3 linked regions of the Schizosaccharomyces pombe genome follow. The protein of the gene in region 1 interacts with the protein of each later gene in a biochemical or structural test. Each region holds a gene or a part of one and is shown on either strand. Other genes may lie near its edges. The genes, in order: ufd2, sds23 and dsk2.

Evidence for each region.
Region 2: the proteins of ufd2 (region 1) and sds23 form a complex in vitro, tested with the Schizosaccharomyces pombe proteins (one study listed by BioGRID).
Region 3: the proteins of ufd2 (region 1) and dsk2 form a complex in vitro, tested with the Schizosaccharomyces pombe proteins (one study listed by BioGRID).

What each region holds. Positions count from the first base shown.
Region 1 is NC_003424.3:2,123,298-2,134,906, reverse strand, and holds ufd2 (ubiquitin-protein ligase E4), read right to left. Parts: upstream 6,467-11,609; 5' UTR 6,445-6,466; coding exon 6,427-6,444; exon of another isoform or gene 6,419-6,426; intron 6,385-6,418; coding exon 5,641-6,384; intron 5,595-5,640; coding exon 3,398-5,594; intron 3,358-3,397; coding exon 3,284-3,357; 3' UTR 3,194-3,283; downstream 1-3,193. Other genes in the region: family protein ICE2, read right to left, coding at 1-333, 419-531, 572-757, 811-1,125, 1,205-1,468; Rho family GTPase Rho5, read left to right, coding at 2,292-2,362, 2,481-3,012; gih35 (ATP-dependent RNA helicase), read right to left, coding at 6,548-6,636, 6,675-6,995, 7,038-7,206, 7,255-7,356, 7,403-8,174, 8,211-8,467, 8,516-8,580, 8,629-8,706 and 1 more; whi2 (phosphatase activator), read right to left, coding at 9,103-9,915; rad57 (DNA recombination mediator, RecA family ATPase Rad57/Rhp57), read right to left, coding at 10,458-11,455, 11,551-11,609. UniProt on the Schizosaccharomyces pombe protein: E4 ubiquitin chain-elongation enzyme specifically involved in polyubiquitin chain assembly.
Region 2 is NC_003423.3:944,932-954,780, reverse strand, and holds sds23 (protein sds23), read right to left. Parts: upstream 4,005-9,849; 5' UTR 3,958-4,004; intron 3,902-3,957; 5' UTR 3,901-3,901; coding exon 2,674-3,900; 3' UTR 2,489-2,673; downstream 1-2,488. Other genes in the region: origin recognition complex subunit Orc5, read left to right, coding at 505-861, 915-989, 1,030-1,965; GTPase-activating protein Gap1, read left to right, coding at 7,379-9,679.
Region 3 is NC_003424.3:3,368,008-3,377,721, reverse strand, and holds dsk2 (UBA domain protein Dph1/Dsk2), read right to left. Parts: upstream 7,996-9,714; 5' UTR 7,980-7,995; coding exon 6,915-7,979; 3' UTR 6,338-6,914; downstream 1-6,337. Other genes in the region: tubulin-specific chaperone cofactor A Alp31, read right to left, coding at 1-203, 356-442, 506-574; SPOM_SPAC8E11.08C (uncharacterized protein), read right to left, coding at 1,904-2,206; SPOM_SPAC8E11.12 (uncharacterized protein), read right to left, coding at 2,718-3,026; SPOM_SPAC8E11.10 (sorbose reductase), read left to right, coding at 3,738-4,505; rmt2 (N-methyltransferase), read left to right, coding at 5,240-6,313; nucleoporin Nsp1, read left to right, coding at 8,203-8,206, 8,273-9,714. UniProt on the Schizosaccharomyces pombe protein: Protects ubiquitin chains against dissambly by deubiquitinating enzymes thereby promoting protein degradation.

The sequences.
Region 1 (11,609 bases):
TCAGCGGAACACAATATTTGATTCACTGGAGAAGTGAAAGAGGGTGTTGGGTATAAGTGCTGTAATAGAAGGTTTGTATAGACTGCAATAAGTATACATGGAGAAAGAATACTCCACATACCCTGTTTAGAAGTTCGACTGTACTCGAGAAAGATGATGTTATTTTGTATTGCAGGTAAAATTCTTGTTACGGCATACATAACTGATATGCGAAAAGCAAATGTAGCGAAAACACTCGGCGCTACGGTCTTAGCAGCCGCTACCATAAAAAGTACAATATTATAAAGCGTCCTTGGTAAAGTAGCAGATATAGTGGAGATTAGATAGTGAACACTGTTAAAAAATGTTAAAATTCGACTGCTCGAAAAAAAAGCAAGAAATTGGTAATAGTGAATAAGTAAAACATGTTGGAACTTACCTTTGAAGTATATTAGGAGGAAGATAATCAAACTTTGGTTTCTCAAGAGAACTAGTGTTTGGATTGCCAAAATCAGTACAAACCATATATACGGTGTATGCAATATACAAAAACTAAATATGTTAAAATCAGAAATAAGGAAATAACAATTACCATTAGCGATGCTTCAGATAAATTTGCACGTCCAGAAGCAACACCATAAATAGAAATTACAATCACAGTTGCAAGGGAAAATCCGATCATTAATGCATTAGGATTGGAGATAGAAAAAGAAGATACACGATAGAGGAGATAGAGGCTCATTGATATGGCACTACTAGCATTAAGCAAAATAAAGAACTGCGTTTAAGTTAACAAACGTAGGCATAAATAAAAGTATAAAATATACGTACCATCCAGTTTTCGGACTTATTATGGACCAACCAACGGCTTAGATGGCCAAGAGCTTGTACAACTAAAAGCGACGCCATTCCTTCTAGCAAATTAAATAGGGGAGTAAAGTGTAGTAGAGCAGTGTTCCAAGCAGAAGCAAGAAAAGAGGCATATTTATTCTGCTCTATGCTTGGTGATGCATTAAGGGCTATTATTAATAGAATAAAAACTAAAAGAGGTTCAAAGAAATGTAATGTTAAAGCAATTTTTCGAAGCCCAAACAGCTTCAACAAAGCAGTAGAGAAAAAGTATACTTCTAGTGCAAGTGTAAGTATCTATTTTAAATTTATGTTAGTTTATTTTTTAAGAAAGAGAAAGAAAGAAATGTTGAAATAACTTCATTCCTAAACTTACCAAACCGCAAAACCGACCGCCAATCTCAAAGGCGATTCCTACTAAAACTATTATGACTAAAAAAAACCCCAGGGAAAGGAAATTCCCAAACATTGCTAGCATGTTGCGGAAATGTGTTGATATATTTGCTTTAGGTTTTCCCTGAATCTCTGGTGCTTCATCATCAATAATTTCCAATATAGAATCATCCATTGCTTCAAAACTCGTGTCCTCCACTGTCGAAACCGAAATATCATAATTATTCGACCTAATTTCCTGGTCCATTGCCAAAAATTATTAAAAATTGGTCAAATTCGTAAATGCAAGACGTTGATTTTTCAATTTTTGTACAATTACTATCTTTTTAACACAGTAGAACCCAAACTGAAAACTACTTCACTCTATTTTTTCTTCTATAATTTTAAATCCTTCACAGGTAAACTATAAACACTAATTTTTACATTCAGTGCTGTTTTAATCGTTCATGAAGTAGCACTGATCCCGTAGCTAAGGAGTTTTGCTAAATAATTTTATATGAATTTTGAACGGCTGAGGCAATGAAACTTATCAAGCTTCTTTCATATTCCTTATTAATCGTTAATAGATATACGACAATATAACGCAATACGTGGTTTGTATGTATCTTGGAAGAGGGGGAGCATGCTCGTAACCACACCAAAGCCTATTGTTTACGTTTTAAAATTCGAAAGTATACTAGCAATTTACTATAAAATATTGTATAGATAAAAGCCAAAGGATTTTTTAAACATAATAAAAAGCTATAACTACTATCTTTTCCATCAGGTCGGTTTTACTGGGCTGCTCCACTTGTGTGTTTGCATAAATTTATAAAAGGAAAGTTGAAATTTAGTTCAATTGAATAGATTTTAACAATTCTTTTTACAATTAAATTACTCTAAGACGCCGCTTATATTTTCTTTTTGCTTTGCCCCCTATTTATTCGTTGCTTGAGTTATCAGTCGCCTTATATTTACATTGGTAGTTGAGATCGATTTTTTCAAAGCGGGCAATTCCTTGCGTTCACGAACCAATTATTGATATACTTGCAACAATTTTTTATTTTAAAAGAAATTTTTTATTCGACATTATGACTACTGAGCTCCGTCGTAAATTGGTTATTGTTGGCGATGGTGCTTGTGGTAAAACATGCTTGTTGATGTACGTTTGCCCTTTTAGAAATTCTATTCATTGTTATCGAGCTTTTCAAATGTGAATTTGATTTATCTAAACAACAATTGTGTTTTTAAAGCGATTAATCTACTAACAATTATTTTAGTGTTTTTTCCAAAGGAACTTTTCCTGAAGTTTACGTCCCTACTGTTTTCGAAAATTATGTTGCCGATGTCGAGGTTGATGGAAGGCATATTGAATTGGCACTATGGGATACAGCTGGTCAGGAGGATTACGATCGTTTACGCCCTCTTTCCTATCCAGACTCTCACGTCGTTTTGATTTGTTTTTCAGTTGATGCTCCAGAGAGTTTGGACAATGTTCAAGAAAAATGGATTTCTGAAGTTCTTCACTTCTGCTCCAATTTACCCATTTTGCTAGTTGGGTGTAAAGTGGATTTACGAAACGATCCAAAAACAATCGAAGAGCTCTCCAAAACCTCACAGAAGCCTATCACATTTGAAGAAGGACAGGTAGTAGCTCAAAAGATTGGCGCCTATAAGTATCTCGAATGTTCAGCGAAATTGAACGAAGGGGTCAATGAGGTTTTTGAGACTGCAGCTCGTGCTTCCATGCTTAAATTTAAGCCTGCTAGTGTACCGAAGACAAAAAAGAAGAAGCACTGTATCTTACTCTGATGAAATGCAATCTCTGTTATGGTGTATAAGAGCGTTCTATTAATTACATTCTGTATTGTTAGATTCACTATATTCATTTATCCTCTTGTGCAAAGGAATTATTTTACGAGCTTAACCTTTGTGGTACCGTACACCAAGTTTTTTATCCTTCGAATCATTACCTAATGAGTTTCCATGAATGTTTAAATATTTCATAGTAATTAATTGTCTAATCTTTTATTTAAACTTATCGAAGCCTTTCATTAAAAAACTAGTATAAACACAGTTATATTCATTCACTATTTCGCGAATGTTTGTTGCGTTTTGATTTCAGGAACGTGTTAATTTCCTCACGTAATGTATCATCTAAAGAATTAGTAACTAACAGTGGAAAAAAAAAACTTACTCGGTGTCACATCATCAAGCGTTAATGGAGTTCGATTAAATGGGTCGGTGGCATCACTTAGTAGATGTGCTTTAATAGTAGACCTATCAATCGAAATGCCAGATCTCGGTAAAACAACAGGATCTTTCATTATTGTAAACATAAGAGGATCTAAGAAGTAGTCAGGAATATCACCCATGTCTTCCTCTTCAGTAGCCTCTTGCAATCTGAATGCCTCTACCCTATTCACAAATTCTTTAATAGCTTCTATATCAAAAGATGACTTGAGGTTGTGCTTAGTCATAATGCTAGTCGCACGTTCAAATATTTCTTTACTATAAGAACGGCCATCGTGAGCAACAGCTTCGACAAATGCAGGTTCATTGCACAGGTTAAGATAAACATCGAAAATAATCGACAAAAGGGTTTTTGCATTAAAATGATATTTCGTTGGGTCCTCTACCTTGAGGTTACTACACTTAGGGCCACATAAAGCTTGAAGGTTATAGTTTAGCATAGCTGCCAACCGATCTACAATTTCAACGGCACAAAAGGCTTTAGGAATTGAGGAAGTGAACAATTTGAGCATAAAAATAGTTTCATTCCCTAACTGGCAATAAGTAGAAGCTTGACGTTCTGCGGCCGCTAAGTTGCTTTGCGATTCTTGAACATTCTGGTTAGAGTTGCTATTGCTTATTGCATCTGCCAAAAGGCTCTGAAGGTTGTGAATCTCGGTTAGTTTTAAAAGAGCCTCATCAAGAAGATATGTAGCATCATTAAGCATGAGAGCTACAAATTTAACAAAAAACGGCAAATTTGTTTTTTGCTCCTGCTCCAGCTTACCAAAATAGGCTGGTTGCTTCCAAATAGTTCTAAATACTTCGCATATATAGAAACGAATGTTGAATTTATCATAAAATTGGGTAGATTGTCCTGTAGATTCAATCTCAATATAAAACGCCATAAGTGCTGGAAGTAACCACCTTGTTGCAACCTTCGACGTACGTACAACATCTAACAACAATTCTGATCTTCCCACGTGCGTTTGCACTCCAAAGTATAAAATCTCGGCAAGTTTCGCTCGCAAATAAGGATTTTTGATATAATTAGCTTGAGTTAGAAACGACACACAAAATTCACACAAAGGCTCTAAGGAATGCAGCGTCAAAGTACTCGACGAGGTTTTAAATAAAGACAACATATAATCTGTAATGGTTTCAATAAAATATTCAGGTAAACATTTGAAAGCTTCCGGTGCATTTTCATTAAACGGTAACGATAGCGGCATTTTTGGATATGTCGAAGATTGACCATCAGCTAACCTCGATAACCAAATGGCAACGAAATTAAGAAAAGAAAATGATCTTGAAGTATCAGATGTCTGCGTAAGCATAATCTCATAACAGTGCACAAACGATCTATCTAAATCCAATCTTTGATCAAGCCGACTTAATTGAGCAGTGAGACGTGTCGCTTGAAAACTACCGCTCATATTTTGCTGTTCAGTCTCTAATCTTTCTTTCAGTTTCTCGCTATCACGAATTGATTGCACAAGTTGCTCTAAAGCCTTAAAGGTAGCATTTACACCATAATGATGAAATGCGAGATTTAAAAAAAATATGTCTGAAATAAAGTTATTGGAACCCTCGGCTGGTTTTGAATAAAACGATTCCGAAGCCTTTTGATCAGCATTCAATTTAGTCTCTTCTTTGATATCAACGCGAGGGTTTCTCCTAAAATATTCAACTTGTACTCTGTCAATTTTCGAACATCCTATGTCAAGAAATGGTTCAGAAAGTCTGCTTAACACATGTGAAAAATTTAGCATGCAGGCGTCAGATGTAATATCAAAATGATTAACTTGAATGGATTGTCGCTTGTGATTGGCATTTACCACCATGGCAAAGAAATCCAACACAGACTCTCTCAAAGATGTAGATGTTCGAATGAGGGTATTGAAAATTTGAAAAAGGACATCCTGATAAGTAGACATAGTCAATTTTAAAGAACTTATTGACGAAGATATATTTTGGGCTGATCTCTCAGTAGAATTGGAAAAATATCGAGAAGCGACATCTTGAGTAAACACTGACAAGCTTGATATTCTTCCAAGAAACGTTTTGTACTCAATTTCTCCAGCATTATTCGTAGGATTCCAAGAAGGCAACTTCGGCAAAAGTAATGCAATTGGTTTTAATGACACAAGTTGTAATATAATCTAAAAATATCAGTTTATGCTAAAAGATAAAAATTGATGTTCATACCTGCATCACATTCATTTGAACAGTATCTACATTCATAAGACCAATTTTCAAAGATAAAGATTCCAACACAGGAATAAACAATTCATCTAAGTTTTCGTGTTCAAACCTCTGAACAAATTCTGATAGAAATTCCAAAGGTATACCTTCTGCACCAATTAAAACCTCGGCCAAATCAATTGTCTCCGAATTGAATGTGTCAGGAAGCATTACTACAATACCGGCATAACTGACAAGCAAACTTTTTAACAGAGATAAATAGTGAATTTTAAAGTCCTGGTTTTCATCCTTCGGAAGTCTCTTTTTATACTGATACAGAAAACTCCAAGACTGTAACAAATAAGAGAAAGTATTGTTGCCAGTTGTTGACAGTCGAGAGAGTAACGCAGAGTCAACATTATTCTCATTAAATAATAAAGGGGATCCCTCTTCTTCTAAATCTTTTTTAAAACCTTCTAAATAGTATTTTGATGAATCAGTTTCACTTAATGTAATATTAAGAGCCTGACATGTTATAAAATGCATCCATTCATCCTTAGAAAACAAGCGATGTTTTGGAGCACCAGATGTAACAGGTGGAGATATTTCTTTTTGTTCTGAATTTGATGTTGTAGCCTTTGAACCAATAAATCTCTTTTTTAAATCAGGTTTTTTAGGTTCAGGTGCAATATTGCTTTCCTTAGGTTCTTTAGAAGAATTTGCCTCCGAATTGGTCTGCTGCAATTTAGCAAGCCTTTTAAGACGAATCTATGGGCCAATATTAGCAATTAGCTGAAATTTTTCTCTTACCTTTTCCAAATCACTCATAATGGGGTGGATTGAGCAAGTTGGTGGAAGTGAGGTCAACATATGTTTTAACTACCAAAACTTACTATGCTAAACCGGTAACATGAAATTGTATTAACATATATTATTTTTCTCGTTTATAGTATTTATCCAGCCAAAAACTTTCTATTTTAGAAATATTCTTCACGAATATTTGAGTTTCTGATTCGACAGCTAAAACGTTAAAATAGTCTTATAACAAATAGGCTTACCTGAAGAATACATGATCCATGGTGTTTTTTTTTCATGAAGTACACTACTAGAGTCTAACCAAACCTGCTTTCCTCCTATTGTTTTGTAAGAGCCGTCATTCTGTAAATGTGCGACGTTACGCACAAAACCATCAAGTAGGCATTTCAAAATTTTGGAACAATCACTGGATGGTAATCTTTGAGCAGTAGGTATAGAAAATTTATTTAAAAAACGAACCAAATGAGTGCGAATGTCAAGGGCTTGGCGCAAAGTTTGATAGTTCAAATAATTTTTCCTGCACCATTGTAAATCTTTTTTGTTACCGACAAAAGATTCAAAAACTAAATGTTAATACACTTTTAAACTTTATTAATGAAGCATACCATTTAATGCGGTAATGATGTCCCCTTCATTTGCAAAAAAAGAAGAATGGGCAACGAAGGCATCATTCTTTGATGAACTTGTGGGATTATAAAATACTTCGCCTGCTGTAAGTATTGAAGCAATTGAAAGAATTTCATGAGTGCAACCAAATTGGTTGGAAGTAAGTAACTAATGATGGGTTAGCGTGTACTTTATTTCCTATATGGGAGTACGTACAGCTTTGGAGATGTTTGCATCCAAGAATGAGTTGGAAATTTGTATGCCAAGTGGGTCTGTCAAATTTCCACTTTCGTCCAAGACACCTAAAAGATAGAGGTCCTTCAAAAAAATTAGTTGTTTGCCGGCTATAATAAAATTCACAAACCTCTAGAGCCGCCATAAGGTGAACTGTGGGAGGACGGACAAAAAAGGGAAACTGAAGTATGTTTTTTAGCCCTAAACCTTTCAAAAATAACACCAACGGTGACATATCGCAATTTAAGATGTCTGCTTCAAATTCTTCTTTCATCAAGCTGTAAGCTTTTTCAGTATATAGACGGAACACCTTTCCCCTCATTGTCCTTCCAGCTCTTCCACTTCTCTGTATAGCACTTGACTTAGATATAGGCACGTTAATCAATTTTGAAGTCCTTGTATACGGGTTGTATATCCGTTGTTTATTAAAACCTGAATCAACGACATAAACTATGCCATCAATAGTAATACTAGTCTCAGCAATATTCGTAGAAAATATAACTTTTCTGAAGTCACCATCATATATGTTAAAAACTCGCATTTGCTCGTCAACAGTAAGACCAGCATGTAAAGGTAAAGGAACTAAAGTTTGACAGTCTTCGGAAGCATGAATTAAGGAATCTTCAATCTTTTTTATACAGTATTCTATTTCTTTTCTTCCCGAAAGAAAAACCAATATATCACCAGGCGGATAGGTTGAATTAATGTTTATAACCGTTTCGATTGCAGAATCAACGTAATTTTCTGTAGGTTTCTGCAAAAATAATGTTTCTACGGGGAATAATTTCCCTTCAATTGACATAGTGCATACTTTATCTTGTCCGAAAAACTGAGACAGTTTATTCGCGTCAACAGAAGCGCTGGAGAGCACAAGTCTAAAATCATTCCTCTTTTCTAAAATCCTTGATTTGTCAGCTATGAATAGAAAATTTAAATACCTTTTCAAAACTCCTAGTAGGAGATCTGTCGACAAAGTTCGTTCATGGACTTCGTCGAGAATGACTATTGAATATCTTTCCAGCAAAGGATCAAAAAATATTTCATTCAAAAGGATTCCATCGGTCATATATTTTATTTTTGTTTTTTCAGAAACGTTATGATCAAATTGAATGCTATATCCACACAAACTTCCAGGAGGAGAGTTCAGTTCCAAAGATACTCGTTCAGAGACGCTCTTTGCTACGAGTCTTCTGGGCTTTCAAATAAGTTAGGAGGATGATAAATAAACAAAGTTGTGACTAACCTGTGTACATCCTATAATACCGTTTTGGGACGCCCATCCAGCTTCGTATAAAAATTGAGGGATTTCTTCAAGATTATTTTTAGTTTAATAAACCATCTAATCAAAATACTTACGAGTTGTTTTACCACATCCTGTGTGGCCTAACACTATAGTAATCTGATTTTGCTCTACTGCATATAACAACTGGTTTCCTAAATGTAACGTCAGCAATGTAAGGGTAAAACAGCTACATACTGTATTTGGTGATTGGTAATAGCTTTTTCTGAATATTTAAGGGTGTATTTGTAAGAGTACTAAGCGATTGGGAAATAAACTCATTAGGCATACTCTTGCGTAGAGAGCATCAAGTAAGTGGAAGCACTTTCATGTTACCACAACTAGATTGAACGTATTGTAATATTTATAAAAAACAGTATTAACAAAATTCAAATAAAAAATTATTATTCAAAATAAATATACTACAATAATTATCACGCAATTTGAGTAAAATCTGGGAAACCTCGTAACATTGGTATCTGTTAAAAGAATGGCTGCATGCACGGCCTAACTTAGCAAAATGTTTTTTAATCTTATTTTTACTAAAACACTTAGTCTTGAGAATTTTCACGATTTCCCATAATCGTAACTTCCAACAACCACTGCTTTCTCCTCCAAACATTGATTAAAGATCCGTTTACTTTTATAACTTCGTTTATCCACCAGCACTTATTACCTGGCTGTCCCCATAGCTTCAAAATTTTACTCAAAAATTCTTCGCTTAATGAGGAGCTCTCGACTGTTGTTATGATATACGACATTAAGCTCATTAATTTTGGCTCCTTTACTCTCTTGGCCCATTTATCGTTGTAGCGAAATCCACAATGCTGTAATGCATCAACTAGCGGTCCATCACTCAGCCCTTTTCGGATTTTTTTTTTGTCTGCACTTTCAAAAACGTCGTTGTTCTTGAAAGTTTGCTCTAATAAGTCGCTCCTGATTTTTTGGTCGACGGGCTTTTTATTTTCAGAAAATAAATAGATATTGCAACATTCTGTTAAGAATAAAACGAGGGTAGTATTCGATATAGGATTAAATGCAATTTTTGAGGGATAAGCATTATTACTTTTTTTAAATAATGGTAGATAGGTGTCCAAAATCCATTTACAAATGGAAGGGTCGATTTTGTGGCATTTGAAACATGATGAGACATCACCTCCCTCATGTTTTAAAAGCAGATGAAACCCATTAGGAAATAGAAGTGCCAACACGGTAGTTGGTAATATTGGAAGTTCAACGCGATCAATGACTATTAGTTTGCCCCGGATGTTGAAATGTATTTTTTCTGGAAAAAACTTTAAATTACTTTCCAGTGTATTGGCTAAAGTGTCAACCGTATTGATTCGATCAATTGGAACTGACATTTTTGTGTTCTATTTTTGTAACGATTATGTTATAAAAGAATGTTCATTTTTTATTTACAAGATATCACCAATGCATACTTGGCTTTTGGTAAAAATGTTAGGTGCAAATTTCTAAAGGATCGCCAATAGCGGAAGCTATCGGAAAGGTCTTACAAAATCTTTTACGCGCAATAGTAAAAACAGGTAGAAAAAGCCATTCGTCGGTTAAGAGAGCTCTTTGGGCATTCTTTGTTACGTGTAAAACTTTTTATTGTATTTTTTTCCATTTCAATACCCAACTGGTATATCCAAAATTCAGTCCACTAAAGTATGTCGGATTCTAATAAAAATGCACTACCATCATAGATCAACAAAATATATATTTAATAGTGACAGAGGTAATATAAATATAAAGATAAATAAGTACACTTATATATGTAACAGTTACTCAAAGCATTACTTTTCTTTCTGCGAATGATTGATAAGCGACAGTCGATTAAACAAAGTTAGGGCAATTCATAAACCGGTTTTATTATATTATATATAAAATTTTTACAAAAATGCTAGCACGAATATATCCCAACCGATCCTATGCATATTCGTACGTCAAGCCTTGGAGAATTTGGTGAATAAACAACCCGAAAGATTCTCCCCGAATTATTGGTGGCAGAGTCGGTTTTCTTAATTAATGCTAATCTCGTACTGATGTTATTAGTCCAAACGAGACCAAGAGATGGTATTTTGGGATTTGGATCTGTGTCATCCCATCCCGAAAACCATTGCGATTGATAATCTAAACTAAACAACCCAATAGCATCATAATCTCTAGGAATTCTATCGCTAACTTGGTTAGCTATGACAACAGCAGCTTCATGTTGATGAGCTAAAGTGCGTAGAGTCATAGCTAACTTTCCCAATTGATTTCCACGTTTGGCAATATTATCTAAATCTCTAAAATGACTTTTGGATCGGTTGTAACGGAGCTCAGCTCTGTAGTTGGAGGCGACACTATCCAATATAACCAACCCAATTTTATCCCGATTGAATAAAATCGGCAGTTGATACTGAATGATATGTTCTTGAGATTCCAGATCTGGGCATAATATAGTATACACCCTATCTCCTGGATTTTTTATAATTATGTCTTTCTTATCAGCTTTGGGATACCTTTCTGGTAAATAACGCGCCAGTTCAAATAATCGTTTTGTTTCAAGACCGGACTCTGTAGAAATGAAGACAGCTGCTTTGTTCATTCCTCCTAAACTGAGAGGTAGTTGAACCATTAAACAAAGCTGCATACAAAACTGTGACTTCCCTGAACCGCTTTCACCACATATTTCAGTTAACTGTCCTACTGGTATACCTCCATGTAGAGTTTCATCCAACTTTACATCGCCAGTTGTCAAATATTTCGAAGTGACTTTGGAAGCAGAACATCTTACTGGTTGAAGAAGGAGGGATATCTGCTCAATTAACTGTAATAACTCACTTTGACTACAATGTGTGCGTCTTTCTAGCTCAGTAATATCCAGCGTTAACAAATCAACCGTGCTTACTTCTCCTAAAGCTGTCAGTAATTCCGTCTTTTAAGATCCCGGTACAAAAACCCAATATTTTTTTTTTATGTGCAAGCTTATTGAACTACTAAACGCTTACCTAATTCAAATGCTGAAGCAATTTTCTCATCAAAGTAGAAATTGTCAACATAATTCGAA
Region 2 (9,849 bases), on another chromosome or scaffold:
ACAGTTAACGGCTAGATTACAAATTAAATCTAAGCAATATTTAATTCTACGTACTCCGCACTAGGCCATTTATTCAAAAATAATTTTGGCTATGCATTAGCGGTGAAGAAGTTAGTATTGAAAGTGAATTAGCTAGGAGAAAGAAAACTTCTAATAACTCAAGCGAAACGAACTTCTGTTCTTTACTACTATTAATCAAATATATTACAAAAAATAAAATTTTATAATTCTATTTTAGAATAACTGTTTAAGCACATTTTGTTACGACAAGGCTTCTCAATAAAATACACCTTGAACCAAGTACAACGCTTATAGTAAACAATCAATTAAGATTTCAATAATTCCAAAGTTTAAATTGTATTTGAAATGTACGAATATTATTCTTCGTTTTCCATTAATTACCTTTCGTTTATTTGTATAAATTAGTCCACTAGTTTTTGCTTCGAGCGATGAATGTTTCACTGCACGACACCATATGCCAAAGCATAAGCATATTGCCATGAAATGCATTTGTATCAGTTGGAAGACGAATTAAAAAAGAATGTCTTTTGCAGGGAAGATCAAATAAAGAAACTTTCATGTTTACTTTTTAATAAGGATTGTCGTGTTCCAAGCATTGTGCTTTACGGAGTTGCTAGTACAGCAAAGACTTTTTTATTGCGGACCGCTTTTGATTTGTCAAAAGAAGAAAATGTTTGGATTAATTTGCAAGACTGTTTTACAGTCGCTCATTTCTGGTACCGGATCCTTATAAAAGTCGGTGTTGACAAAGATATAGCATTAAAAAAAGGCATTAATATCAGTGGATTTATTTATTTACTGGAACAGGCAATGTCCAAAAGGGACTATCATACATTTTTGGTACTTAGTTCCTCTCCTATTTTATTACTCTTAAATACTAATATGAGTTATAGGTGCTGGATCAAATAGATGATTTCGCTGAGGCTTCTACTATTCTATTCTCACAATTAGCTCAGCTTCCGATTGTTGTAAGTAAATATTTACAGACCCACTGATTAACTATTTTAGGCAAACATTCCCAATCTGTCAATCATTTTTGTACTTCATTCTCACCCTGCTCAATACTTGGGAACATTGTCTATTGCAGTGATTTTTTTCCCACAATATACCCAAGCGGAAATATTAGAGATATGCCAAAAAACACCTCCTAATTTAGATTTTTTGGATAGATCTGGCGATAGTGTTTTTGAAGACGAAATTGAGCTCAGCGTCTGGATGCAATATTGCTCGTTTCTTTGGAGTGTTTTTGGAGTGCAGTGCTTAAATGACTATAGGTCTTTTCGTAGTGTTTTGGATAGATATTGGCCAAAGTTCATTCAACCTATAGTTGAAGGAGACATACATCCTGCTGATTATGCTCAACTTCACAAGCTGGCTAAAAACTTTTTAGTGTCAGATGCTACGGTTACTAAAAGACTTCACATAATCAACCCGACTGAAATAAAAAATCTTCTTGATTCCAAATCTATTAACTTGTCGCTCGTTTCCAAATATTTACTCGTTTCTGCATTCCTAGCATCTTATAATCCAAGCCGGTTAGACGCCCAATTTTTTTCATTTTCTAAAACTTCGAAACGACGTGGAAGAAAACGTAAACAAATTCAAGATGAAGGGGTTTTATTTTCCAAAATACCAAGAACCGCTGGGAGCAAAGGCCGGTCTGCTGTAAAAATATCCCAACTTACATTAGGACCTAAACCTTTTGAAGTAGAAAGGTTGATTGCTATTTATTATGCCATTTCTTCCCCGGTAGAGAAAGTTCTGACCGCTGATGTTTTTGTTCAAATAGCTACACTCGCCTCCTTAAAAATGATACTTTCGGCTTCCAAAGGTGTGCTTCGCTCTTTGGATAGCCCTAGATACATTGTCAATGTCTCTCGCGAATATGTATTAAAAATCGCAGATTCACTTTCGTTTCCTCTCGATAGTTATTTGGCGGGATAGCTTAGTATTATGGTTTATTTTATTGCATTACTGAAATTTTGAATATCGTAGTTCTGTCACAATTCATTAATTTATACAGAACTATATGAACATCCATTCTATCTCCCCATAACATGTTATTTTACTGTTTAAAGGGCCCAAAACTTAAAAAACATATTTTTTTTTGTTACTTCTGGAAAATAAAAGAAAATGTACACTACAAACAATTCGATTACGCCTCTGTGATTCTGTGTAAACTGTTACGTATTTAACATTATGGAAGTTGGCAAAGCTGTAAAAAGCAAAAACTAGCGCCGAAAACACTCTTGACAAAAAAATAAAGTAATGTGCTGCTAAGATGGATACATAATATATATCAAGAGGCAAAGTTTCAATCATAACTCTGATATAAAAGTTAACCCTCTGAAAGAGCTACTCTGCTGCCGTGTAAATCAACAACGGGAGACAATTCATTAATAAGAACATATGTATAAAGAAAAGCGTCCGTCAGTTAACGTCAAAACATAAGTAAAAGTATATTTTTAATGGTTAATAAGAAATCATTGGAGATTTAACCAAAATCTTATCCATTTAAAGATGATTAAAAATAAGTATCAAAACCCGTTCATGAAATATGGAATGTTAGAGGTAACAGTAAAAGATGAAATAAAACGGAGGTTCAAATGAGAAAAAGAAAAAAGGGTGTTTCAAATCATCAAATATTTAGCATCACCGACGTTGTGTATCTACACTAGCTTTGCTATGGCTACGATGGCTGCTTGTGCTTCCTCGACGTCCATGTCTAAGCGAAGGAGCACTATGGGGAGCGGGTGGAAGAGTGCCTTTCATGTGAGCATATAAAACAGATATGATATCAGTTAAGCTAACAACGCCCAACAATTGATTGACCTTAACACCACCCATGGATCCAGGGGAAAGATGTGCGTTATTTTTTGGGGAAGGAGGGCAGGAAGGTGACTGCACAAGCCAAAGACGATGACATTGGGTAGCCACCAACTTAGCCAACGTAAAAGCAAAAGTAGAGGATTCATAGATGTTAAAAGCAGGAGCACTATCCTTACCAGCGCGGATACCCTGTTCGCTTTTAATGACACTCAAAAAGTGAGCACATGATTTGTTTAACAAATAGACAGAAGAAGAACGTGTAACGTATTTAACATCAACGAGAGATATGTTGCCAAGTAACCGGAATTGAGCATCGACAACAGCAAGTGAACCAATACCGGTTTGATTCATCTGTCGCAAGGCCGCGGCGACTTTTTGATCTCCAGAGATACAGGTGATGTCAGTGCTTCCAATGTCCAAAGAGTGAATTGTCCTGGACATTAGAGGCTCCAAATCGGGAAACGCACGAATATTATTCCACAAAAAGCGGATGATAGAGCGCTGAGAAGCCATAAAGCTCAATTCACCCTGTTCGTTAGTGACGGCAACACGACGAATACCGGAAGAAAGAATCTCAGCGAGACGTCCAAGGCTGGTGGTGTGAGGGATGGTGATAAAGTCATCCTTGTTTTTCCCGAGTTTTGCAACCTCATAAGCAGTAATGACTTTTCCAGCACGAATATCTTCAGCGACCTTTTTAAACCTGCCATCATTGAAATCATCAAAACCCACTACCATGAGCAAAAATGAGTTAAGATCTGCATAGTCAAAGGTCGTAGCAATCTCGTTGCTTCCCTTAGCAGCAACAATAGGCAAGGCGCTAAGATCTCGGTCGATCAAAATGGAACTTGCCTCTTCCATGGAAGTTTCCGGGTCTATGAGAGCAATTTCATTATCATGAAGAAATGTTACAGGGATATCTTGCCATTTATTTGAAGGAAGATTAGTGGGAATGGGAAATTGTGCCAAAAAATCTGAGACCGAGTTCACGCCAAAGGACTGACGTCCAGCGCTCGATAAAGAATCAGACGATTGAGTTGACAAAGGCATTCTATACAGTTTTCCAGTTAAAATCTCTTTCTTTCCTCTGCATACAACAAAACTTACTGTACCGTGCAGTTTGTCAAATCTAGGTCAGTGTGTGGTTCTGGATAGCGTTGAGGTAGGCAGTGACGGAAGTACCTAGTGATACAACGAAATAGGGGTACGCAGTGGTAAGGCTTTTTTAATCCACGACCTCTTTACCACATTAGACTGAGATCTCTGTAAATCCCGCCGTATACCACCGTCTACCTAATTAATCCACCATGTATGTGGCCTAGTTAAAAATTTCATAATCTGCGATTTCAGTATTTACATCACAATCAACCACTATTTCATTGCTTGCCCGCTTTCATCCCAGCAAGGTAAAACTAGGCAAAAAAATTTTTATTCTTTTTTAAAAATTTAAAAATTAAAATTAAACATAAGGATGGATTTAGTATGAGAGAAAAATAGCCAAGCGGTTAATCGGACGTTTTTCCTTGTTCATAAAGTGGGAAAGTGGGGCAGCTGCTCTAGTTGTAGATGCAGTGTAGGTCGGTTTTGCACAACAAAATCCTAATTTTGTCATTGCAAAAAGGCAAACAAAAATTTGTGTGCAACGATGAAGTGATTAGATGAAACGAGGCGCGCCTATGGAGCAATAAAGCGCTTTGTTTGTTAAAAATGCTTTTGAATTAGAGTTATGGATGAACAAAGTCAACACATTCATATGTACTAAATAATATTAAGACGCAGTATGAAACATACATAATTCAACGTTGCGATACCGAACAGCATCTACCCAATCTTGAAAAAAAAATTAAAATTTACTCTTTATGTTGTTTGATAATTTGGCAGGAGAATAGATAAGTCAAGTCATCAAGTAATTAATTTTATTAGTTAGTTTGAGAGTAATCTCGTACTGTAAGCATAATAATGCATGCTATAATATTGGGTACTCAGTTCTCTAATTATTATACATAGTACTTACACAGATGATCATCATTACCATTGCTTAGCAAAATTGGCAATCATAAACAACAGATATTTCTACCACTGCTATAGCGCTATACATCATTCGAATTTTGAGTGGACTTTTGCTCAAGACTTATTTGTCGAAGAAACGAATGAAAATCCACCCCTTCGTCTAATTTCTCTCCCCAAACATGGAGAAATCAAATCTATGTAATATAGGTTGGAGATGACCAAGTCAGCATTAAATGTTTGATCATCTCTTCACTTAGCAAATCCTATTGAATATCACTCAGTTAATCTCTTGTTTTGATCTTTTTCATTGATAAATGAGTACTAAATACATTACTGCTACGTATTGCTTCGTCTCATATAGTAACGGTGGCCAAATTTGAAGTGCGACAAAATACCATACTACTAGTAATAGAAATTCACATACTGAAACGTCAGATGCGTTTAATAAATAAAGCGCTTGTGTTTTGTTGGCAATTTGTGATTCAACGTGGTAATTAAAAAGTTTCAATATTGAGTAAATGGTCCGCTACAGATCACTCCGGGGAAGAGGTTATTGGGTTACGTAAAAAGACTCATGTGCTGTGGGAATAGCTATTGAAGAACACAAGGTATCGATTGTGTCTCACTCGACGTACCATAAGAAAGTTAAATGGTAAAGTGTGATATATGAAGTGAAAATACAACGTTACTATAATTAGCGGATCCAAGATGTCCAAATGATGATGATGATTGATATAGGAAATGCGATTATGTAGAAGATAAAGTGAATTTCCAAAATATCAAAATTAAAATCGAAAATAATCGAAATAACATATTGATATATATATGTAATTTGAGAAAATAAAATTTAAATATATAGGACACAAATAGACGCTCATCTAGTAGAAGAAATTCCAGCAGTCCAGTTACGGTTTGTAAGAGCATAAAATAAAGTAAATCCATAATTCATATAATAAGTTTTCATCTTGTCCTTTATTTAATTTTATTTTTTATTTATTTTTTATTTTTTTTTTTTAAATTTTTACTCCTTTCATTGATTAATTGTAGTAAAAAAAATCTACAAATTCATCGTCCATTTTATCCTATTCACTCGCAATTCTTTTTGGTAAAACACCCACGTGCGACTTTGTATTTGCTTAACGTACAAACTGCCAGTAGCTTAGTGTAAAAAAAAAATTAAAAAAAAAATAAAAAAAAATAAAATAAATCTATAAATGAATCATTACAAATAACGAATTACCAATTGAAAAATTAGTTAGAGTTTCTTTAATTGATCATTAATACATTATCGAATATTAAAATACGTTGGAAATCTGATATAATGCTGCGCACTTTATTAAACAATGAATTTCCACTAAATACCATAATAGCTTCTGTCTTGTCCTTGCTATGTAAACAAAGCTCAAGCCAAACAAAAACTTCAGGCGCATATTAAACAAGCACTTAACGTTTCGTACTAGATATTCTCTCAATTGAATTAATTGATATACGTTGTAAATTATTTCTATGACATGTACCTACCAGTCTTAAGCAGACATTATTAGATTTTGTCCTTTGTTTAACATATTCTCATGTATAAAATTTCTACATTTCTCTCTCTTTTTTTTTTTTTTTTTTAATTCACCACTTTGTATTGTAACATATTTACTTTCACTAAGTCGGCATTTTTTTTTTCCACATCATTAAACCTTACATCGCTTATAGTCGCTACCCTTTGGTCGGCCTTTCTACCCAAGACTTCGTACATACAGAAATCCTCAAAGACGCTTTTAAAGACTATAAAATTAAACAAGCATCCTTGTTTTTTCTGATATCTCATATCACAACATAATAATCTTAATTTCTCGAGTATCTTTTCTTGAAAATTTTTAATTTTTCTCATCTTTATTTTGTTGCTGCTTCAGCAAGCCAGTTATTAATTTTTGTTTAAAAATATATAAATATTAAATATTTATATATATTATTCCATCTACAAAGCATTACTTATTTTCACATACATATACATCTACCTTCATATACAACACTCACTAGTATTGTGTTAAATTTTATTCGTCCAATATCATTTTGCTACCCTGTTTTTGTGTTTTGTCAAGCATTTTATTCTTTGTTCTCTTTTTTTCCCAGATTTGTCACATTGAACCTACGTCCTTTCACGTTAACGTACTCGGACGCTTTGCTCAAATACTATTGAATTGCTCAATAACGTTATAAATTCTATATCCTTTTCTTTTTTCTTTGGAAGAATTTCGCTTTCTTTAATCGTTTAATCGGGCGCCAGTGGGTCTTAATACTGTGTTTTGCTAATAGAACCAATAGGTTCTGTCCGATCTCCTCTAATAACGTTCTTTTGATGATTTTCTCTTTTATTTTATTTTTTTTTTGTTTGAAAACTTAGTATAATATCCATCCTTGTTTTCTTCTTTTACACTTTGACTTGATCCCTACACTCTTTCTTTTTTTTTTCTACCCTCTCTTGTTCATTAGCTACTTAGGCAATTTTTAGCTATTGAAATTTATAATGACTAAGCGGCACTCTGGTACCCTATCTTCGTCGGTGCTTCCGCAAACAAATCGATTGTCCTTGTTAAGGAATCGTGAAAGCACCTCTGTGCTTTATACAATCGATCTTGATATGGAGTCCGACGTTGAGGATGCCTTTTTCCACTTGGATCGTGAATTGCATGATCTCAAACAACAAATATCCAGTCAGTCCAAACAAAACTTCGTCCTCGAGAGGGATGTACGCTACCTTGATTCCAAAATTGCACTTCTTATCCAAAATCGAATGGCACAAGAAGAACAGCATGAGTTTGCAAAACGACTGAATGATAATTACAATGCTGTAAAAGGATCATTTCCTGACGATCGTAAGCTTCAGTTGTATGGAGCGTTGTTTTTTTTACTTCAGTCTGAACCAGCCTATATCGCTAGCCTTGTTCGTCGCGTCAAGCTTTTTAACATGGATGCACTTCTACAAATCGTTATGTTTAATATATACGGAAACCAATACGAGAGTAGAGAAGAGCATCTTTTATTATCTCTTTTTCAAATGGTATTAACCACCGAATTTGAGGCCACTTCTGACGTTTTGTCTCTGCTTAGGGCTAATACTCCGGTATCTAGAATGCTTACAACTTATACACGTCGTGGACCCGGACAAGCATATCTTCGTAGTATCCTTTACCAATGCATTAATGACGTTGCTATCCATCCTGATTTGCAGCTTGACATCCATCCTCTTTCAGTTTATCGCTATTTGGTGAATACCGGTCAATTATCACCATCTGAAGATGATAATTTATTAACAAACGAGGAAGTTTCAGAGTTTCCTGCTGTAAAAAATGCAATTCAAGAGCGTTCTGCTCAATTATTGCTTTTGACAAAACGATTTTTAGATGCTGTTCTTAACAGCATCGACGAAATTCCATATGGTATTCGCTGGGTCTGTAAGTTAATTCGCAATCTGACAAATCGTCTGTTTCCTAGTATTTCAGACAGCACTATTTGCTCTTTAATAGGTGGATTTTTCTTTCTTCGTTTCGTTAATCCAGCTATTATTTCGCCACAAACTTCTATGCTTTTAGACAGTTGTCCATCTGATAACGTCCGCAAAACACTTGCTACTATTGCAAAAATTATTCAAAGTGTTGCCAATGGCACAAGTTCTACGAAGACACATTTGGATGTTTCTTTTCAACCTATGTTGAAAGAGTATGAAGAAAAAGTTCACAATCTTTTGCGTAAACTTGGAAACGTCGGTGACTTTTTCGAGGCTTTGGAACTTGACCAATATATAGCTCTATCAAAGAAGAGCTTAGCACTTGAGATGACCGTCAATGAAATATACCTTACACACGAAATCATTTTGGAGAATTTGGATAATTTATATGATCCCGATAGTCATGTTCATTTAATTCTTCAAGAATTAGGCGAGCCGTGTAAATCTGTTCCACAGGAAGACAATTGCCTTGTCACACTTCCTCTTTATAATCGATGGGATTCTTCAATTCCTGATTTAAAACAAAATTTAAAGGTAACCCGCGAAGATATTTTATACGTCGATGCCAAAACGCTTTTCATTCAACTTTTACGTCTTCTGCCATCGGGCCATCCAGCTACAAGGGTGCCTCTAGACCTTCCACTAATTGCTGACAGTGTTTCGTCCTTAAAAAGTATGTCATTAATGAAAAAGGGCATACGTGCAATAGAGCTTTTAGATGAGTTGTCAACCTTACGTTTGGTTGACAAGGAGAACCGTTATGAGCCTTTAACTTCTGAGGTCGAAAAGGAATTTATAGACCTCGATGCCCTTTATGAAAGGATACGTGCAGAACGTGATGCTTTACAGGATGTTCATCGTGCTATATGTGACCATAATGAGTATCTTCAAACTCAATTGCAAATTTATGGGAGCTATTTGAACAATGCCCGTTCTCAGATTAAACCCAGTCATAGTGACAGCAAAGGATTTTCTAGAGGCGTTGGCGTTGTCGGAATTAAGCCCAAAAATATTAAGTCATCAAATACTGTAAAGCTTTCTTCGCAGCAATTGAAAAAAGAGTCTGTCCTGCTCAATTGTACCATTCCTGAATTTAACGTGTCTAACACATATTTTACATTTTCTTCTCCTTCTACGGATAATTTTGTTATTGCCGTTTACCAACGTGGACATTCAAAAGTCCTTGTTGAAGTTTGCATATGCCTTGATGATGTATTGCAACGACGATATGCAAGCAACCCTGTCGTCGATTTAGGATTTTTGACATTTGAGGCTAATAAGTTATACCATTTATTTGAACAATTGTTTTTACGAAAGTAAATGTTCTACCAAGCATCAGTGACAACACTGGCCATGCTTTAATTTTGCGGTTTAATTGTTTCAGCATGACCGGCAAATACCGTTCTTTTTTTTTATCCGTACTTTATATATACCAGCATTCTTTTCGTTTCCTTTCTTTTCACTGGTTTGATTTGTTTCTTATACATTAA
Region 3 (9,714 bases), 1.2 Mb from region 1:
CAGTGGTACCCATTCGTGGGGAAATTCGTTTGCTCTTTTTCAATTACTTCTTTTGCTTTTTCTAAATATTCATTTGCTTGTTCAAGTTCAGGAGTTCCTTCGTATGCACTGTCAGAAGAAATGGATTCCAAGTCGTTCGTCGCATTACGAAGACGTACAAGAGCATCTGGCAACGCCTCAAGATGCTTCTTCAAAACAAATTTCTAGAGGTCCAGAATGTCAGTACTTTGATTATTTTTTATTTTAAAAAAGATACGCTAAAGCGGAAACCACCGAAAAGTATCTTCAGCTTGGTAGAAACATCTTCTAGCACAACACGTCCAACGTTTATATGGTTTCAACTAATGCAACATACCTGATGCTCAATTTCTGCAGAATCTTCCCCATTATCAATTTTACTTTGTACACGTTTCTCGGCCTCGTTAATATCGATATGAGCCAACTAAACAATTGTTGAGGTCAGAAAATTCCATCTACAAAATCGCGATCCAAAAAGGAAACTTACTTCTACATCTTTAATAATTCTTTTAACGACATTAGTTTTGATGACTAAGCTCCTAACAGTATTTGACATGGTAGAAAATAAAATGGACGCGATATGCAAAGGAATAATGTTAGGTTGGATGATTTTCCTTGACTGCAGTGTAGGTAACGTTGGAATACAAAGGAATGCTAATGTTAGCGTGTGGTGATAAGTTACGAGAAACGATTAAGAAAAGCTAGTTCTAGTTAAGTTTTCAATTTCTTTTAAAGCCCTTTCCTTAAATTCCTAAAAAAGGGTATTTGATTAAATGTTTGCATCAAGTATCAGACTAGTTATTGATCGACAAACGTTTCATTCCTATATTATGTATGAGATAAAATTGCTCAGTTATTTCTAAATTTACGATTCACCGATACTTGTACCAAAAATTTCATGCTTTTATGGATGCTCAATCATATGGGAGGTTGAGCTTTTCGGGATTCAGCTATATGAAAATTTTCTAGCGCGTAATTCATTATATTTAGACGTAATTGCTTTTACAAATATTTTCCAAAACAAAAATTTCTGATTCTCCGTACACACAGTTATCTCCCAACAACCGAAATTGTTAAAAGCACGATTTCATATAAGGATAGGTTGATTGCTAATCACTCGAACCACAGTCTGTTAATAATTAGTCAACTTTGCCTAGCCAAAAAAATTCAGCTTCTATCTTAATCCTTGGAAAACAAAAAATAAAAAAAGGACCTAATACCCTCTTTCAAAGTAGATCCTGTACAAGATATTTAGTCTACTCAAAAAGCCGGTACAACGATATTAATGTCAACAGACTTCGGTATAATGGGACCAGTCTTCAATGTGAGGATAATAGCTAAAATCCTTTACTCTATATAGGACTTTAAATGGATCCTTGAATATTATTCTGTTTTCTAAAATGATTGATCATATTCTACGCCACAGATGCATCAAAAATTCAAATCATCGCTTGGGAGATAAAAGAGTGAACGCTTTTTCATAATCGAACAGCAACCTTTCGAACCCTAGTAGTCATTAGTATTTTAATCCACTTTTTTTTTTGCAAAGCTATGAAAAACAAAGACTGCAACCTGGTATAAGCATTTTAAACATATCGTACTTTGCGTGATCTAACAAATTAATCTCTATCTTGTCAGTTCACAACTTTGGACAGATACAGATGATGAATTTCGACAATTAAACATTTGCAAACAAGTCAAAGCTCAACATACAAGCATTCACTGTTTAACGCTTTTTGAACTTTCTCATTTCCTGAAACGTTTGTTTACAAGCTGATATAAAAAAAGGGATTGAATTGAACGGCTCAGTTGATATAGATTAATTTAAAAAGTGAACTCCGTTTAGAAAGTATCGCATAAGTTAAAAAATGGTATTCAAACAAAGCTAACAAAAACGAAACAAATCGCATTTTCCCATGAAAAATACAAGGTTGTTCGGAAAACTGCATATTTGAACATGATGACAGCCAAGAAGAAAAATAGAAGGATTTATTAGAATTCCCTTAAACTTTTCATTATAGTCTTTTCGGTACGGTAACAACCATATATACAATCTATACATTTCTTCAGACCATTCAAATCTTAAAATGGAGCTCCCCTTCAATTGAAGAAACGGAAAATTTTTTCTTGTCAAATTTTTACAGACTACTAACCTACTAAACAGAACCTCATTAGTGGTAAAGTCCATTTTAATACTTCTTGCTTATTAATTCATTATTTTATTGCCGTAAAACATAAATTATCCTTTTATTTTCTTCTTCTTTTCTTCCCTTGTATAATACTCATTTTTCGCCAAGTCTCAAGTATTCCAGTGTTCGATTCCGACCATGGAAACGATCTCGGTCGGGTAAAATGAAGACTCTGGTAGTCTCCAGGCTATTGCATCTCGTTCAGATTTGGGTTGATCTTCTGGAACAATGCGGGCAACTGGTAGAACGTTAATGAGGGAACAGATGAAAAACTGGAAACCTAGATGCGTGACAGGAGAATCTGGTGTTCTTTTTTTTTGAATAAGTATATTTAATAGTTAACAATATCGAACATGGTTTTAGTTAAAAACCATGCAGAAACTACTGAACGCAATTAAGTTTAATAGTTCTTCTACTTACACATTTTTTCAACCGTTACTTTACTAGTATAGTCTGGAAATATATATATATAGTTATTAACATGTAACTATTACCTTTTTTAGATAATATTTAAAAAGACATTCTTCCCATCATCCCGCATCTTGACTGTACAATATAATACCGGTACTTAATATAATAGTAAGACGAACAGTGATTTTGAGCTTCTTTCGGATCTGATATTGCTATGGGTGGAAAAAGAAAATTTCGGATGGATTTAGGATTAATGCAGAAGAGAATTTGAGGTAATTGAGTATCATTTTCAAGCGAATTTTTGCAAAACGAAATTGTGTTGCCCTTATAGAACTCGCCAACTTTTGGTTCCTCTTCCGAGTCCAGTTCTTTAATCGCTTGCATCTTGATCGAGAGAAGCGAAATCATACCCCAAATGGCCAAAATCACTTGGCCATTTGTTAATTTAAGCTACCTTTGTCGTCCGACGCTCCCCTTCTTAATCATGGGATTTTATCCGTACTTTCTCCCCGGATTTAAGAGAAACTCGTAGTATTTCACGAAAAAAAAAGAAAAGATGAAATGAGTTTCCAATTTATAATAAATGAATTGTCATTCTCACATTTATGAATTGGATTTCTATATTTTGCGGGTTACACTATTTTGACTCCTATGTGTGTAGCCTAGTTTCTCGCAGTTATTCATTCAAACTTTCCACTCAGCCATCACAATACCCGATATTATCGGTTTGATGGATCTACTAGTGTCACTCGAGTAAAACGACCGTTTTGTCTATTTGCGCTATTTTTTTCCTCCTTTGCAAATCGTTTATTTACACATATATTTTTTCCAACAACACTATTTAGGACTGCTCTTTCTGTGTGTCAAAAAGAGGAAATTTTTTGTATAAAAGCCTTGGGTCCATTGCCACAAAGCAATTTTTCTTTCTGGTTGCCAAGAGTGCCTTCTCTTACTATTAAAAATCTTTCGGAAAAAAATTTTTGCTTTTCATCTAATCAAAAGCTATTAAACCGGTGTTCATAAATTTTACTACCACTTTTTGTTCGCTAAAATATTTTTGTGGGGTTTTTTTTTTCTTAATAATTATTACATCGTTCGGTTTTTTTCATATATCTCATAATGACTTCTATGTTTTCTCTTAAAGGTAAAACCACTCTCATCACCGGTGGTTCAGGCGGTATCGGATTTTCGATTGCTAAAGCATTCGCTGCCGCTGGATCTAATGTTGGTCTTTTGTACGGTCGTAACAAAAAGGCTCTTGAGTATGCTGCTGAATTACGCGACAAACATGGTGTTCAAGCCAAGGCTTATTCTTGCCCCATTGAGAACCGTAGTGCTGTAATTGAAACCACCAACCAGGCAGTTGAGGAATTGGGTGGTCGTTTGGATGTAATGATTGCTAATGCTGGTATTGCGATTCCCCACTTATCCTTGGAAGATAAGAATGAAGACATCTGGACCAAGGTCGTGGGCATAAACCTGAACGGTGCTTATTATACTGCACAGGCTGCTGGCCATCATTTTAAGAAGCAAGGAAAGGGCAGTTTGATCTTCACGGCTAGTATGAGTGGTCACATTGCCAATTGGCCTCAACAATGGGCTTCTTATCATGCTACCAAGGCTGCTGTCAAACATCTGGCTCGCGCTCTTGCCGTTGAGTGGGCCCCTTTCGCTCGTGTCAACTCCGTGTCTCCTGGCTACATTGACACAGATTTGACTCTGTACGCTGATGAAAACTTGCGTAAGAAATGGAAGGAGTATACTCCTCAAGCCCGTATTGGTCTACCTGATGAGCTTCCCGGTGCTTACTTATACCTTGCTTCCGATGCTAGTTCCTACTGCACAGGTAGTGACATTATTGTTGACGGTGGTTACTGTTCTCGTTAATTTCTTTACTATTAATATTTCCCTCTATAATCATAATTAAAAACTTGAATTTTTGAACCTCCCTTGAGCCTATAATCCAAAACAGCTACGTCAAAAAGGTTCTTCTTCTGGATCTGTTTCATTTTTAAAACATTTCCCCTCTACCGTACTCATTTTGTTGTTGGAGCTTAGATCTCTACACTCATGGCAGCATGTAATTTGAATTGGTTTTTTTAAAACAAACTGCTATTCTATATGCTTCCTCTCCCGATTTGTCGTTTTGAAGTTTCTAATGCTTTTTAATTATCATCTAACAAATCTAAAAAGTTTTATCACTATAGTTAACATAAACACTGTGTATGATAAACTAACTCTTTCTTTCTCTAACTTGCATAAGCACACCTTAGTAATACTACATCGCCGAAGTTAAAATAAATCAACGGTATGCTATTCTTTTTGCATGTTTCAGATGGGTTATTTGTACAATATATCGAGGTAGAATAATTTTAATTATTTAATGCCATTTCCTTGCTAGTTTTCTTTATCCTATAGCTCATGAGTACATTCTATGTCTTTGAAACACTTGATAGAACAAAGAAGAATTTTTTATTTTTATTTCATCTTCGTTATGTAAATGATTACAACGGTATCTAAAATGTCTTATTGTTTAACAAAAAAATCCCTTAATTTCTAAGTCCAGCAAAGCATTCAGCTTAAAGCTACGAGTAAAAAATACCTGCCATCTTCATATTAAAATGGACGCTCCACTAGTGAATGAATCGGTGGAATTCCAAGAATCTCAAGAGTCCTTAAGTCTCTTGGAAGCCTCCAAACAACTAGATTTAAAAAAAATTCAAAATCTAGTGGATCAGGGGGCAGTTACTTCAGCTATCGATATCGAGTCTGGCAAAAATGCTTTACATTTTATAGCCTCATACGCTGAGAAGGAGACAGAGGTTCAAGCTATTGAAGTAACGAAATGGATCCTTTCTAATGGTGGAGTCTGGAATGGTATTGATAGAGCTAACGAAACTCCTGGATGCATTGCACGTCGTAGGAATTTATTGCGCTTGTACGAAACAATCGTGGATGCTGGAGTTCGATCAGAGCTATTACTTTCTCTCTTAGAGAGGAAGGAACTTACAAACGAACAATTGGATACTAACGAAAAATACTTGCAAAGTGCACTCTCCTATACGCAACCTACAGAAGACAGTTCAAGCCTTTTGGATAGTGATGCAAACGCTGTTATGATGAGTTGGGAACGAAAAATAATGCATCGTTCTGCTGAAATTATTGCACCAACCAAGGGCCGCCGTGTTTTGAATGTCGGCTTTGGTCTTGGAATAATAGATACGTTCCTTCAGGAAAAGGAGCCTTCGCTTCATGTGATCATTGAGCCCCATCCGGACGTTCTGAAACATATGCGTAAAAACGGTTGGATGGATCGTGAAAATGTGATTGTATATGAGACAACTTGGGAGAACGCTATTAACGACATTGCGTCTAAATACGTTTTCGATGGCATCTACTATGATGCTTTCGCAGAAAGCTACGAAGATCTTCGAAACTTCTTTGATTCAGTTGTTGGTCTCTTAGATCCTGAAACAGATTCCAAGTTCTCCTTTTTTAACGGATTGGGCGCCGACAACCAAACATTTTACGATGTTTACAAAAAATTGGTCCCCATCGATCTTGTATCGTTCGGGCTTCAATGTACATACGAATCCATGCCCGTAAGTAGTAAAGACGAGGAATGGAAAGGCGCAAAGCGTCGATACTGGGATGTTTCAAAGTATTTCTTGCCCATTGTCACTTTTGATTTTTAAACTTGCTGAACTATACGCTTGTCATCGGACGGAACTTTGGAATTTAGTTTTTGGGACTAAGGATAAACTATCTTAATACAATTTTGTCTATATCATTTTATTATTTGAAATTCAACTTTCATAAGCATAATTAAGTTGTAATGTTAAACAGACGTATTTTTCTTTTTTTTTAGTATCTTAAAACTGCTATCGTTTATTGAACATTATAAATCACTGAAGCGTAAGTAAACTGACAATTTAGAAAAAACTTATTTTTACACAACAAGTAAGCTTTCTATCTAGGAGAAGCATATATAGAATTCGTCATCGTACTTAAATTAAACGACTAAACATATTCATTCAAATCGATTAATATGATCATCGCGATAAAACAGAGTACGATGACTTTCCAGGTAAAGTCACTAAAAGTCTTGTTCAGGTAAATCTGGCAAAACTTGCAAGCATGGCATAATAATCTAAATATCACCAAAAGATTGGGCCGTATAAATTTTATTACAAAAGGAAAAAGGGAAGAGGGAAGTCTTGATACAAAGGGTATTATCCTTGAAATATATGAACACCAATAAGCCTGATTGATATATTCTAGAAACGAACAAAGGAATTAAAGATCACTCAACAAAGATTCAATAGCACCTTGCACGTTTCCTCCACTTCTTCTTAGTGCTTGAACGTTACGCTCGAAATCCACAAAGCCCATTTCATTAAGCTGGCTCAATTGCTCAGCATAACGCTCTTCTGGAGGGCGAGTATCTTGAGCAGGAGCTGGAGGAGAGGCAGCTCCCCCAAGGCCAGCTCCCAAACCGGCGTCTCCCAAACCAGCACCGAAGCCAGCTCCTCCCAAGTTATTTAATAAATTTTGAATGGTGTTGGCAGCAGCAGTTTGATCAACAGGTGCGGCACCTGCAATACCAGCTGTAGCATTATTAGCCCCTCCAAATCCACCTAAACCAGCTCCACCTAAACCGCCTAAGCCAGCTCCTCCTAGACCACCCCCCATTAAGGACATAGGGTCAATACCGGCAGCACCCATTTGTTGATGTAGTTGAGCCATTTGGCGCATTGTGTCGGGATCAGTCATCGCGCGACGGAACTCAGGGGACTGCATCATTTGACGGACATAAGGAGGTGCATTACGAAGATGCGGGCTGCTATTAATAATCATATCCAACATTTGAGGATTTGAAAACATCTCATTAATAGAAGACTGCACCATAGGATTAGACAACATATTGGCAAGCTCTTCGGTCGAGGGTGGAACAGGATTCTCAGGATTAGGACCAAACATAGATGCTGATGGCATAGGGATATTAAATCCAGCGTAACGAGCGCTAGTTAAATTGGCAAGAGGATTATTAGCACCCTGACCTGCTTGAATATTCGTTGGAACTTGTTGAGTGCGGTCCGATACATTCGTGGCGGCGGCTGCAGGATTTTGTCCTAAGGTTTTTACCAAATGTATACTATGTCCATCTTGAATTTTGTATGTTTTTAATGACTCTTCATCTTTCAGAACGCGACCAGCGTAAATCAGTCTTTGTCGTTCCTTCTCTATATCAGCTACAGGCGCAATGGCTTCCTTTAATGCAAGTACAGAAGATTCACTATCAACTGTAACTGCGTACTTTTGATCATTTGCCGCCTTAATAGTCAACGATATATTGGTCATGTTGTTGGGTTTGGTTAGGTATTTTCCACTCGTTCGATGACGCTCTTATGTAAAAGAAGTATCTTCGGTGAGCTTCAGTGGACCCTTTCTTCAGGTCCCAAAAACTCCGAATGGTGACCCAGTTCTCCGTTTTGGTTACCGACGTCTCCGAATTCACCGAGTTGTGACCGAACGCCATAAACATTTCACTGTCCTGATACAACTTTCAGCAAGACCCAAATCAATGTGTAAGTGTAAGAGGCGGCAAAGCTGGTCCCTTGGAATTTATTAAAATTTGCTAACAAAATCAATAGCTTTCAACCCAGGTAATAACCAGAATTCAGGGTTTTCATTTGGGAAACCTGCGCAGCCGAATTCAGCTGCGCAAGGAGCAGCAACTCCTGCGGCGACTGGCTTGTTTGGAAACACAAATAATAATACCTCTTCTACAGCGCCGTCTGGAGGCTTATTTGGTTCTAATAACGCGAGTAACACCAGTGCTCCCAGTACCTTTTCTTTTGGTAAAGCAGCGACTACAGGCAACTCAACAAATGCATCAACGAGTTCACCTTTTTCGTTTGGGTCTACTAATACCAACAATACTGCTGGGGCTAAACCTCTTTTCGGAGGTTTAGGAAGTACCGGGTCTGCTAACTCTACTGGTGATAAAAGTAAAAACACCGCTTCTTCTGCTACAGGTGCAGCAACTACTAATCCTTCAGGTAGTACTTTTAATTTTGGAAGTTCAAATAATTCTTTTAATTTCGGTAAACCCGCTTCTACGACTAATACGACGACTCCGGCAGCCGCTAGTACTGGTTCTTTGTTTGGGAAGCCTGCTGCTACAGGGACTACAAGCAATGCCCCTCCAGCTTCTTCTACTTCTACGACACCTGCTACTGGAAGCGGAGGTTTTAGCTTTGGAAAACCTGCTAGTTTAGGCTCTACTAATAATGCATCCACTTCAACCACTGCTAATTCAGGCTTTAGCTTCGGAAAGCCTGCAACTACTTCAGCTCCAGGATCTAACACTACTGTCACCCCCAGTAGCTCCATTACGGGAACCAATGACTCAAAGCCTGCTGCATCTAACACTGGTTCTGCTCCAACTACTGGTTTCTCTTTTGGTAAGCCTGCGGGCCAAGCAGCTTCAACCGCAACGGACAAAGGTACTACCACCACATCTTCAGCTGGTACTGGATTTAGTTTTGGAAAACCTGCAACTACAGAGGATACTAATAAACCTACTGCTCCCAACTCAGCTTTTACAAAACCGGCTACTTCAACTGGTGATAATAAGCCAACATTTTCTTTTGGAAACACTTCAAAACCTACGGAAAATACTAGCACAACAGCAACTTCAGCTCCGCCACTTTCGAACAATACGAAACCTGCAGAAGGTGCGAATCAGACTAGCTCTGGATTTTCATTTGGTAAACCTGCAACTGATACTACAACATCTACTTCAAAAACCGGTCCCCTTTTTGGTAATAAACCTGCCGATCCCAGCGCCAAGCCGGGCGCTACTGCCTCCACTACTCCTTCTGAGCCTCCTCCATCTTCTATCAAACACAAAACTCTTCAGGAAATCCTTAATAAATGGTCTACTGATTTGACTACGCAAACTGAAGTTTTTAATAAGCTTTGTGACCAGGTTTCTGACTGGGATAGAACTTTAGTAGACAATGGTGCTTTAATATCGAAATTATACACTGAAACTGTTGAAGCAGAACAGATGTCAAACCGCATTGATGAC